2 linked regions of the Tribolium castaneum genome follow. The protein of the gene in region 1 purifies or fractionates together with the protein of each later gene. This does not show direct contact. Links are inferred from orthologs where the notes say so. Each region holds a gene or a part of one and is shown in the gene's direction. Other genes may lie near its edges.

What was found. Proteins that work in one complex are often made in the same cells at the same time.
Region 2: the proteins of san (region 1) and Naa15-16 purify together in Drosophila melanogaster (affinity purification with mass spectrometry, with the first as the bait; 3 studies listed by BioGRID). This does not show direct contact. The link is inferred for Tribolium castaneum from reciprocal best matches to the Drosophila melanogaster genes san and Naa15-16.

What each region holds. Positions count from the first base shown.
Region 1 is NC_087402.1:194,131-200,111, reverse strand, and holds san (probable N-acetyltransferase san), read left to right. Parts: upstream 1-2,866; 5' UTR 2,867-3,017; coding exon 3,018-3,025; intron 3,026-3,075; coding exon 3,076-3,399; intron 3,400-3,444; coding exon 3,445-3,610; 3' UTR 3,611-3,701; downstream 3,702-5,981. Other genes in the region: derriere protein, read right to left, coding at 3,707-4,026, 4,116-4,287, 4,334-4,711, 4,761-4,961; Mulk (acylglycerol kinase, mitochondrial), read left to right, coding at 5,120-5,229, 5,275-5,621, 5,666-5,981; E3 ubiquitin-protein ligase TRIM33, read right to left, coding at 241-522, 729-1,036, 1,090-1,200, 1,421-1,681, 1,731-1,941, 1,989-2,355, 5,249-5,444. UniProt on the Drosophila melanogaster protein: N-alpha-acetyltransferase that acetylates the N-terminus of proteins that retain their initiating methionine. Has a broad substrate specificity: able to acetylate the initiator methionine of most peptides.
Region 2 is NC_087402.1:6,528,283-6,534,733, forward strand, and holds the end of Naa15-16 (N-alpha-acetyltransferase 16, NatA auxiliary subunit), read left to right. Parts: intron 1-947; coding exon 948-1,141; intron 1,142-1,193; coding exon 1,194-1,302; intron 1,303-1,352; coding exon 1,353-1,696; intron 1,697-3,469; coding exon 3,470-3,670; 3' UTR 3,671-4,245; downstream 4,246-6,451. Other genes in the region: mitogen-activated protein kinase kinase kinase 11, read right to left, coding at 5,749-6,451.

The sequences.
Region 1 (5,981 bases):
ACTTTAAAACTGTGTAACATTTATTGACAGAAAAGTATTTTTAAAACCATAACCATGTGTAGATAGCTTCCTATTATTTCCCTTAATGGTTGAACCGTTTACTTAAAAAAATATTAGTATCTAGTGTAGTTATTTGTTTATCATTATGCTTGTTATATTTTATGATAAATATTTTAGGTGATCGAAAAATTGTAAAAAATTCAGTTAGAACCTTTGCGATAAAAATTAACGCAGACTTACCCATATTGGATTGTGGGCTAATATTTTGATTTTGTGGATACTGCGGCCCATTGTTAAACTGTCCATATGCTGGGGGTAATCTGGGTGATTGTTGGAACCCTGATGGTTGTTGTTGGTAAGGAGGTGATTGTTGGAGCAATTGATTGATGGGTGATTGTTGTTGGGGTGGTCTGGAATGACCAGGACTGGGAGAACCATGTGGAGGTAATTGAGATGAGGGTGAGACGGACTGTGAAGGGTAAATTCTACCATCAACCACAATTTGACCGATTGTTGACATGACTGAAAAGTACCATGATTTCAAATAATTAAAGTCGTCTGTGACTGAAATTTGATCTAAATGACATTAATGACTTCCACAACCTACTTTAATATAAAAAATAAATAAATAAACCAAAACAAATTACCTGTTGATAAACCTACCAATGAAAGCACAAAAAATTAAGCAAAAATTTAGTCCAAGCATTTGAGTCAAGACAAACACTTACCTTTAACAAGATCTGGAAATTTATCCAAAGCCAGATGAATTCGTACCGGTATTTCTGGATTTGGAATATCGGCTCGTTTACATTTGATTCGACGTAAGTGATCGGTGACTTGTTTTTTACTGTATAATAGAGCCATATCACTGCCGTTATCTAAAGCATGTTGTGTGAACTCTATACAGTGATCTGTCATACGTGAAAGTTGCTCTAAAGCTTGTTTTTTCTCTTGTAACGTCTTTTGTTTACTATCACACACTTCGGTTAATTTCGAAACTAATTGTTTGCCTCTAACATTAATCGTATTTGTCAACCTTCCAAAAAAATTAATTATACATTTAATCTATAAATTGTAATAATCAATTACTTGACCACTAATTGTGTGATTTCCTTAACAAGTGCTTGTTTTTTGTCAACAATCAAATTTTGACGATCGTCTATTACCTTCATCGCACTACATAATAGTGCCCTCTTGTAACTGAAAAATATATTGCGAAAATTAATTAATACCCATTCTCTCATATTTTTTTCTTTGACGATTTGAAAAAAAATGGGTTTACTCAAATGTTAACAAAATTAACTCAAATAACTCGCAATTTTCTCACTCTGAGAAATTTCACATAATAATAATAATTGTGACATTATTTATTTATCGTGATTTTTTGCCCAAAAAAATTACCTAATTTTTTTATACGTACCCAACATCCTTCAACATATCAGCAATAAATTTTCTTGTCTCTGACGCAATTTCATTGGTAAATTTATACTTGTGTTCCCTATGTTCAATAAGTTGGCAATCGCGACAAGTTAATTTATCGCACGTTTCGCAAAATAGTGACAATTTCTCCTGTGGATGAATCTGACAAAATAGATTAGGTGCAGAATTATTTGTAGATGATTGGCTGTCAGTAAGTCCCTCTTCTTTCGGTTTAATGGTATGGTCTTTAGTTATTTTTAGTCTAGAGTAATTAAAAATTAAAAATCAATTGATTTGAATGAATAAAATACCTTTGATGTGCTTGTACACAACTATCACAAATGTACTCTGAACAATCAACACACCAACTTGTAGCAATTGCATCATCACTACAACTGCTACATTTCAACTCTGCTAATTTGGTCGAGTTGTCTTCGTTACTTGCTAGCTCTAGCAAAAACTGATTTTCGATTATTTTACTTGGCTCACATACTATATTGCACTGTGGACATTCAACAGTAGCTGAAATAAAATATTGACTTATTGATTATTACGATTTATTGGCGTACTTTTCTCCAACTCTTCGTAAAGCTTGTTACCAATGCAGTTACCACAAGCATTATGCAAACACTCCAATAATTTGGGTTCGTCACTACCACTCAATACCTGCTCACAAAAGACACACTTGAAGGTGTAAGAAGTTTCCCCAGTTGTTGGACTCTCTACATGTTCTTCAGTGCCTTCAGCAACTTCTTTAACTTCATCCTTCGATTCTTCCACTGTTTCTGTTACAGAATCATCACAAATCATTTCACTCTGCTCATTCAGATTCTGAACTGAATCAATCACATCCTTGGTGGTAGCGTCTTGCTGATTCATATAATTGCCCTCGTTGTAATAAATATTTGATTCAGCCATCGTGGACAATATTAGAACCAATTAAAAATGAAAAATTGATGATGTTGGGGGAGCGCCTTTGAAATTTTAATCACCACCTTGATTAGGGCCGTTTGGCTACCATTTACTAACATCGTCTTCACCCGTTTTTTGCATTATTTACACTTTTATTTACTTTTTTTTTCCAATATTTTGGGGACGCTTTTCCAGAAAACACATCAACCTCTCAAACTTCACTACGACTATCACCAACCTTACAAAAACCACGACCCTAACTTCAACACGAAATTTCACGACAAAACTTACATTATCTTAATAAAAACACAGAAATATTTAGATTTGGGGCAAATCTCCACAAAATTTGGCCCAGATTTGCCAAAATTTGCATCAATTCGGGTAATTTTTCTCGTCAAGGTTGGCGGTCTTTTTTGGCGCTTTGTAACTTCAAAGGCACGGCACCGTCATTATCGTATTTAAATTTAATTTCACTTTGTTTGCCCGTTTTAAAATACGGGTCGGGGTTTAATTTTTTATGAAATTAAGTATTTATTTAAAAATTGGGGGGGGTGCGCGTTGCGTCGGTATGTTAGACACTTCCACCACCATCGCCACTTCCATCGACCATCATTTTTGACGTTTCTTTCAAAAAGCGCAATTTTGTGGTTAAATTCGTGGTTATTTTGTGAGAATTTGGCGATAAAATGACAAGGTGAGTGATGTAATTAGTATTAACTTAGCAGCTACACGTGTGTGTTTCAGAGCTAATATCGAATTAGGTAACGTAACCCCACATAATATTAAACAACTAAAGCGCTTAAACAGCGTGGTTTTTCCCGTCTCTTATAACGATAAATTCTACAAAGATGTGTTAGAGGCGGGTGAATTGGCTAAATTAGCCTATTACAATGATATAGTGGTTGGTGCTGTGTGTTGTCGAATTGATACGTCGGAAAAATCTCGTCGTTTGTACATCATGACTTTAGGCTGTTTGTACCCTTACCGTAGACTTGGAATAGGTACATTAATGGTCCAACATGTCTTATATTACGTGGAACAGGATGGCAATTTTGATAGCATATTCCTGTAAGAGTTTTTTTTTATATTAAACCCAATAACACGTTCTTTTAGCCACGTGCAAGTAAACAACGAAGGAGCGATTGATTTCTACAAAAAATTCGGTTTCGAAATCGTCGAAACTAAAGAACATTACTACAAAAGAATAGAACCGGCAGACGCTCACGTTTTACAAAAAACTCTGAGGAAAAAAGGACAAAGCAACGGAAACGCTGAGTAAAACACATTGCATGATTGATTTTTTTGTTACAGTATTTTTTAATTTCAAACACATTGTATAATTGTTTAATAAAGTCATCGTTTGCGTTAAATCTGTTTATCTGCAACCACATGCCGAAATTACCATTTCGTCGTAAAACTTGATCATAACATTGCCAAATCTATCGTAAAACATTATAGGGAGAGGAGCGTATTTTGTGGGGCCACAACAGGGACTTTTACGCCCCAGTTCAGGAAAGAAATTTGTGGTTTTGTGATGGTTTGGTAAGTGGTGGGTTTGATAACACGTGCCGTGGCAATTGTAGGCGTTATAACCAGCTGGTGATATAATAAATTTCATCCAGTTGAGTTTTTGGAAGTCGACGTATAAATCATGTCTTCTGCAAGCGTTACTTTCGGTAATTTCATCATTTGTTCCTACAATACAATAAACATACAGGGTTGGGCGAAAATATGGAGCCAAGTGTTTTGTGCCTAAATTATGTAACTTAGAAAAAATAACTTACCATCACTTCTCGGCGATTCTGATTTTAATATAAGAAAAGTCCTAAACGCGTTTCTATTACTGTCGTTAAAAAGATTAAATTGTTCGTCGTTTGGTTTCGAAATTGTGATAAATATCGACAAATCCGTTGTTTTTTTTATCCAATTATGCAACGATTTGGTTAATTTAAACACCTGGCGATGATTTAAGTGTTGAATGAAAATTCAATATAATTGTTACCTGCCAGCCACTTTCAGCTTGATAAATGTAAATCACATTGAGCAGTTTGTGTGAATCTGGATTTATCAAAGCCGTTTCATTGATATCATTTTCGACTTGATAAAGGCGCAAAATTAGCGATTTTTGTGTCAAATTGGCCTCAACTTTGTGGTAGAAATGTAACTCAACCTCCGCAACGTCCAATTTACTCGAATTAAATTTGATTATGGTTGAATTTAGCGGATTTGCGTTGAAGAGAATGTGAACAGGAGCTGCCACATTTTGCGAATATGCTTCGTAATATTTGTAAATGTATGATGGTAGTTTATTTCGGGTGATGTTGGTCCAATTGTAGTTCCATTCGGAGTCTAAAAGTGGGTGAATGTAGGGTTTAGTGCCCTAAAACAATTTTTTTTCTAATTTACTAGTACTACAACATTATTATTACATTCGTATTTGTGGCAGTTTTACGTGTGACGTTCCTATTATTCCTGAGTTCACTTATTTGAATTGCGGGATAATTCGTTTGATTAAAATTGACACGATTCCGAACCATGAACTCATTTGTAGTTTTATTCAAATTAAAATAATACGTTTTGGCTTCGATTTGGGCTAAAACAAGGAACAAGACCACAGTTATCAACCGCATTTTTCACACAAACTAAATAATTTACCAATTACGACGCCTAACAATCCAGGAAATTGCAAATTCTCTAATTTACGGCAATTTTCAAATTACGCGCCGTCTTGTCCTTGAACCATTCCATTAGTCAAATTTGAGGTTATGCTAATAAATTTAAACAAAACATGACTTTTGTACTAAAAACGGCAAAAACTTTACGCAATCATTGGAAGAAGTCAACGTTTGCAGCCGTGGCCCTACTGTACGGCTTTGAATACGCCAAGGAACGTTTCGAGTGAGTGACATAACCTCACATTAGCCCCCTCAAATTTTATGTTAGGACCCAAGAATTGATGCGTGTTTATTGCGAAAAGGCGGCAAGATTTGGTCTTGAACCAATTCGTGTGGAGGCTGACCCCCGTAACGTTACGGTAATTCTCAACCCCAATGCCAATAAGCGTAAAGCTGGTGATGAATTTGAGAAATATTGCGCCCCCCTGTTGCATTTGGCTGGAATTTGTGTCAATGTTGTTAGGACAGAGTCAGAGGGGCACGCCAGGACTCTTATCAATGATTTAAACGGGACTGATGCTGTGGTTGTGGCTGGGGGCGATGGGACTGTCTCTGAGGTGATAACGGGGCTTTTGAGGCGTACGCAGGAAAACACCAACGGTTTGATTCCAATAGGTTTGTGTTAGTGGGTTTTTGGTGAAAATAATAAAGGTTTGAAGGTGTCTTGCCTTTGGGTAAAACAAATTCTGTTGCTAAAATTTTGTTTCCTTGTGGGAGTCATTTGGAGAAGGTTCGCTCGTTGGCTGATGCCACAATGGCAGTTGTTGAAGAGGTTGTGAAACCTATTAATGTGTTAAAAGTTGAGGTGTTGGAAAATGAAAACAAACCGATTTATGCAGTTTCTGGGATCAAATGGGGGGCTTACAGAGACGCGGAAACTAAAAGAGACAGTTACTGGCTTTATGGCAAATTTCGTAATTATGTGACTTACTTATTTAACGGATTAAGAAATAACTTGTCTTGGAATTGTTCAGC
Region 2 (6,451 bases), about 6.3 Mb from region 1:
AAAATTAAAACAACGCATATTCATGACTGATGAAACATTATCTTAGGATTGGAAAAAAGTTGTCCACATTAAACCATTTCCTCCGGAGAATAAATTTTTTGCTAACACATTTTAATTTGAAACAAACTACTAAGCCCCTCAGGAAATCATTTAACTACACCTTACAATTGACTCAAGAATTTTACTAATTGAAACAAAACACGAACTTGCGTAAAGATAAATCAAATTTATTTTTCTTTTTTATACGCTTGTGCTAATTGAATTAATAATGACTAATAAAAATGTCCTTAAAGAACTGGATCAAGGAAAGTTTGTTGTTATCGGTGTTGTGGGAGTTGATATGCCGGTTTCGGCAAGAAAACAATGCCAAATTGCATTTAAACAAGAAACAAAATAGCTTTAAAATTCTTGTTTTGGCGAAGTAATAGCACACACACACATCACTTCTTTAATGTTGTAACAATTCGTTAAGTAACATAATGGAAACGCTTTAGTTTACAATAGCCACCTGTCAGTCAAACGATTTGATTTCTTGACAAGGGAAACTTTCGTCAAGAACGAAAGCGGAAGCATCCCTCTGGGCTACAATAAACAATTTAAATAATAATCTACCTACGAAAACTGCGATGACATAACGCTTCCCTTATTTGGGCAAAGTGGCTGTAGGTGCCTACGGTGTAGGTGAAGAGTGAACCCAACTTTAATGGGCTTTACTTAACTTGATTAAGAGTTTTATTGAACAAGTTTCGTTTTAAAATAACAATAAAATTCTCCCCCGCATATAGTAGGAAAGCCCGGGGTGTCAAATTCCTTTGATAATTATTACATTTTAACCTTCGAACTAACTATTGTTAGGTCGTGTCGTGAAAGAGGGAAGTGCCGCCGGTTTGAAACAATCGTTAGTAATTAAGTGTCGCAAGGTTGCTAGCAATTTGGTTATTTTTTAGAAAATTTGGCACCTTCCGAATTGAAGAAATTGCGGAACAAGCAGCGAAAAGCTCGCAGGAAGGCGGAACAAGAGAGTGCTCAAGCAAGAGAAGCGCAAGTGAAACGTGACCACCACCATAAATCACGCCAGCAAGGGGATGTAGAAGCGGATGCACCTCAGTTAGACGAACTAATCCCCGATAAGCTGGCACGGGTAAAAAACCAAGGTAATTAACTATAAATTTGTTGTTTGTGGGTAATTTCAGGTCGAAGATCCGCTCGAACAAGCCATCAAGTTCCTCCAACCCCTTCAAAAATTAGCAAAAAATCGAATAGAAACCCATTTAATGGCGTTTGAGGTTTATTATCGGAAAAGTGAGTGGGTGTGTGATGGCTACAGTTTTATTGAGTTGTTGTTGTTTTAGAAAAAGTTCTGTTGATGTTGCAGTCCTTGAAAAGGGCTCATCAAATCGCACCGCAGAATCCAAAGCTACACAGTTGCCTGATCAGATTTTACGAAGTGATCGAACAAAATAAAAACTCGTGGGATCCGGCCGTTGAACAAGTGGTGACCAAAGAAGTGCAAATTTTGTTTAAAGGAAAAGACGCCAAACAGCTCAATAAAGAATTCCTAGAGGCGCACTCGCATAGTTTAGAAGCCGTACTCGAATGCTGTCGAATGATGTTCTATCTCGACAACAAGACACAAAGCACTGCTCTCAGTCTGGTCACCAATCTAGACAATAAATACGAGGATGTCACCCTACAAGTAAGACAATTCAACGAAACGATTAGCTAAAAAAATTACTCGGTAAAAGCCAAATTGCAACTTTAACCGACTAATTTCTTTTGATAATTACTGAAAAATTCAAACGAATGTGGTTATTTTTGAAGGGTGTTTATGTTCTATAACAATTTCCTTGATTTATTTTTTTTTAATTTCTTTAATTTTCTTAATTTATTTATTTAATTTCTTTACAAATACTTTTTACAATCTGCAATCCAATTTGAACAGCAAACAAGCGGTGTCAGAACTTAGGGCAGATTTCATTAATTGAATATAGTAATAATTTACGTATATGAAACCTCCAGTTTAGTTTAAATTCTTTGGAATTGAACTTTTAAACCATTCTTTATTTCAACCTTGTTTTTAATTTCGTCCTAAAGTTGATTCAAGCTTCGTCCTTGCGCAAAATATGTTTTAATTTTCGACGTTGTTAAGAAACTTTTGGGCCTGTTTTACGGAATTTTGCCAAAAAAAATGAGTGTCTGGCTGACAAATCATCCTAAACCAACCAAAAGTACGTTGATTCTTTTCTAATTTGAAATGTTTTGACGAAATTTTATGCAATAAGTGAGTTTGCAATACAAGGTAAGTCCTTATTTAAGGTCTATTCTAAAAAAATATCTGAAATAATTGTTTTTGACAATAAAAATGTGCCAAAAATCCTGGAAAAAGGGCAAAAATAGTGTAATGTTCACTCTTCCATTGGTGAACTTGCGGTGGATTGTGGATTTGAAAAAACTTCGACGAGAGAGCTTTTTTACTTGAAAAATGTGTTCAAGCATTTTAAAAAGACAAAAATAATAATTACGTGTTTGTTCGGCATTTTTAACACAATTCCGCAAAAGAAAAACACTTCCAAACGCACTAAATCTAGCGTAACAGATCAAATAGCATCATTTTTGACCTTCATGGGAAGTTTTTCGCCTTATTAGATGGATATTGTTAAAGCACGAGTTTTTTAGCTCAAAGTAAGGCAATTAAGACATTTTATGAGCTATTTTAACGAAATTTCGCGAATTAAAAAAGTTTTTTTGTTCATAAATGGGTCAAAAGAACGTCCATTTTGATCTATTTTGATTTTTTTTTCTCAAAATAATAAAAATAAATTCACCGAAAAAGGTAATGTCTTTCATCATTGGCCGCTTCTAAGGAATTTATGCTAAAACGAACGTTTTTGACTGAAAGAGTACTAGGAACGCTCAAAAATCTATCGAAAAAGGTAGGTAATGACTGTTTCATCTAAGAAATTTATGCCAAAAAGAACGTTTTTGGCTGAAAAACATACTAGAACGATCAAAAAAAAAGCAAAAGCAATCTAAATTTGCCTTTGTTCGGTCTGTTTGAGGGAAATTACAAGAAAAAAAGTTTTTTAAATGTACAAAATTATTGGAAAAAGACAACACTTGCGTGGTTTTTCGCCTTCTTTTGGGAAATTTTCTATTGTAAAGAAGATGCTTAATCTGAAGAAGACTGCATGTTTTATATAAAAAATATGGTTTGGGTTGAGAATGGATTTTTATTTTCCTCTTATTTTTTGTTTAACGTACCTTATCTGTTATGTAGTCACTGTTTTCTTAATTATTTTAAACCTTGTAACATTTCTTGTCGTACACTTATCCAATTATTTTGTTTTTTAGTTAAAGTATTTTGAAAAGAAATAAAACAATCCGAAACTGTTAAATACTTAAATTTCGTTTTCACCGTTTAATTACTGGCCGGATTGCTTTATTTATGTAATCTTAGGATGGAAAAAAGTTGTTGCCTTTTCAGAACTGCGTGAATGTGGCGGAGGCTTTGCGACGAGGCGACTTCGGAAGTTGCGACGCTCAATTAGAGGATTACATAAAGAAATGCCATAACCGTTTTCCGTTCGCCGCCGATTTTAAACCGGCGTCGGCGTCCCCCAGCGAGAGCAATCACGTGTCCCAAGACCAAGACAACTGCAACAGCAACTGATGACCGCCGTTCAATCTGCGCCTACAACTTTGCAGGGAATTAACCGGTGTCTTAGTGTGCAAGTGCTGACTGTATCATCCGGTTAAAAAGTGTTTTAATGAAATTGTCGCATAGGTTGTTGATTTTTGTGGTATGTCGTACCTCAGGACTGGTAACTAATTGTTTTATTATGTTTTATTTACATCTCTTTGCTTTCTCTTTGTATATTTTCGCTTGGAATTGTTGTGAATTATTTCGGAATTGAATTTTATTTTTGACAGTTTTTTACTCACCTTGCGGTACGTTGTAATTCGATTTAATGACTGTATTGGTGACAAGACTAGAACCGTTTGTACCGTTGGGTTTTTTACTTGTGTGTTTCATAGTGAAATTAATGAATGGTCTGGAGTCGCACTGACATGTCCACCGATGATGATTCTTCACAATCAAAATAATAATTGTGTGATTCCAGTTTTAGACATAATAATCATATTCACAACATTAAGTTTGTAGATACCCATTACTCGTATTGAAGCCGTTTCAATACCATAATTTATAATTATTGTAAATTTTGGTTAATAAAAAAATACTTAATACTTGTAGTGATTTATTAATCTTTGCTCAAGAAAAGACATTAGTTTTATAAATTCTATTGAGTCGTTTACAATTCACACAAATGAGTATTGAGTAATAATTTCTCACGAAAAGAAATTTGGAATGTATGATACAAAGGTCTTCATTTCTTCAATAAATATAACATGATTTTCACAATGTGGAAGCCACGTGTTATCAGCTAAAACTACAATATGTATAGTTTATGTACACTTTATCCAATACTGAACCTCGTAATTGTTAAAAATACAATGGCCACATGTACTTGAATAGTGCGAACCTTCCCTTTAACTCAATATGACAATCGTTACGAGGAAGTTCCGCACGAATATAATACATTATAATACTTTTTCCCTTACTAACATTAAGAACTGAGTACGTTAATTAATAAAAATCTTGTTATTATTTATACAAATTAATAAAGTTGGTCATTTCATTTACAATTATCAACAGGCGTATGACTAAGCAGAGCCAAAATGTGATGATATACATCGGAATGTTTAAGCCAGTCTTTTTCAAAAGTCAAAAAACTGTCAATTTCCACCACCTCGGGGTATAAAACTGATAAATTCACATTCTATTCATTATTATTAAGGCAGCAGCAATGAGTTTCCTTCTATCAACAAAAAACATTTTAAATAAATTGCACCAAAATGACTAATAATGTTCTTATCACTTGTACGTCTAAGCTGCATAATCAGGCACTATGGATTGTGAAATGTTGATATATCATTATGAGTCTTCACCGATAATTCAAATTCAGTGATTGAGCAGGATTGAGGCCAGCAGACCACACACGAGTGAAGTCTGTTAGTCTCGCAAACAACCATACGTATAACACATACAATAAAATTTACAGCCAAATACGCATCGTACAGAGTTAACACTTGCCGAATTAAATACAAAATATAATAAATATACACAAATTAGACTAGGAATACATTATTGTAGGGGGGCGGGGCGCTCACGCCCGAGGCTTGATAAATCAGGTCGGAATAACATTTTAAGTACATTTAAAGATAAGGAAGATTTAACAAAAAAACATATTTTTTGTTGGTAACATTTTAATCCTTTTTAATATCTGCATCGTAGATTATATATTTTAAAACATGTTGCTGATAGCAACGTGTTTTAAATTAAAATGTCCAACAAACAAAAATTTAATAACACTTATACGCTTAAGTTTTCGGGTGTCTAGGTACGAAACTCGCATGCGCTCGTTGCATAACGACAGCTTTCGAACTTTAATCTTGTGTATTTTTTCAGTTTTTTTTTTCTTTTAAACAGAATGGACTGGCTACGCATGTTAAACTTGAAAGCGATTTCTTATTTATCGCAAGCTTCGAAGTGTTGGCGCCCCCTTCCCGCCCAACATCACACAAATCACTTTATTGGCTAGTATTAAATACTCAATATTGCTAACAATAATTTCAATTGTAACCGATTCAACCCTTAAACAAGTCTGAAAATTACGTAAGCCACAAAGGTTATGACCAAAACTCCTTATCCGCCTGCTTCTGCCGCGACCTCCTCGCTTGCAGCGGCACCGTCGGGTCCTGATTTTGCCTCGGAACGGGCAAATCAATGAGCGTCGTTGGCGAAAACCTAACGCGACTTACAGAACTATTACTATCCTTCGCCGAAACGTACGAACTATCGTCACTCGTCAGACTATCAGGCGGCGTTGGATTCGTCGGGGTATTCCCCCCAGAGTGGCCCTGACTCGCCTGGTAATTATTCCGCTTCAAACTCGAGCGTAACTTCGTAAAACCCGAAGTCTCCAACGTGGTTGGACGCTCGAAGTTCGACTCTTGCGAGTTCTGCCGCGAGTAGGCGCTGTAGTCGTAGTCGTACCGCCGCAGGTAACCAGATGTGTAACTCCCCTCATCTTCCAGCTTGAAGCTCGGGTTGACGTTTGAGCCACTTGTCGTAGTCGAGCTGTTTGAGACATTGGACGGGGTCCGTCTGTGCCCCTGCGGCAGTCTTTGGGGGGTGCGTGAGCCACTGTGGCTACTTATACTGCTCGGGTTATCGTAAGCGTAATCAGTGCCGTAACCGTACATGGTGGTGCAACTGTACTCGGAACTGTACCCTGCGTAGTGGTCCGGGTAGTGGCCCCCGTAGTGATAGCCGGGGGCGGAGCACCCGTGACAGTGAGGGGGGTCAGTTTGGTAGTCGCCCGGAACGTAA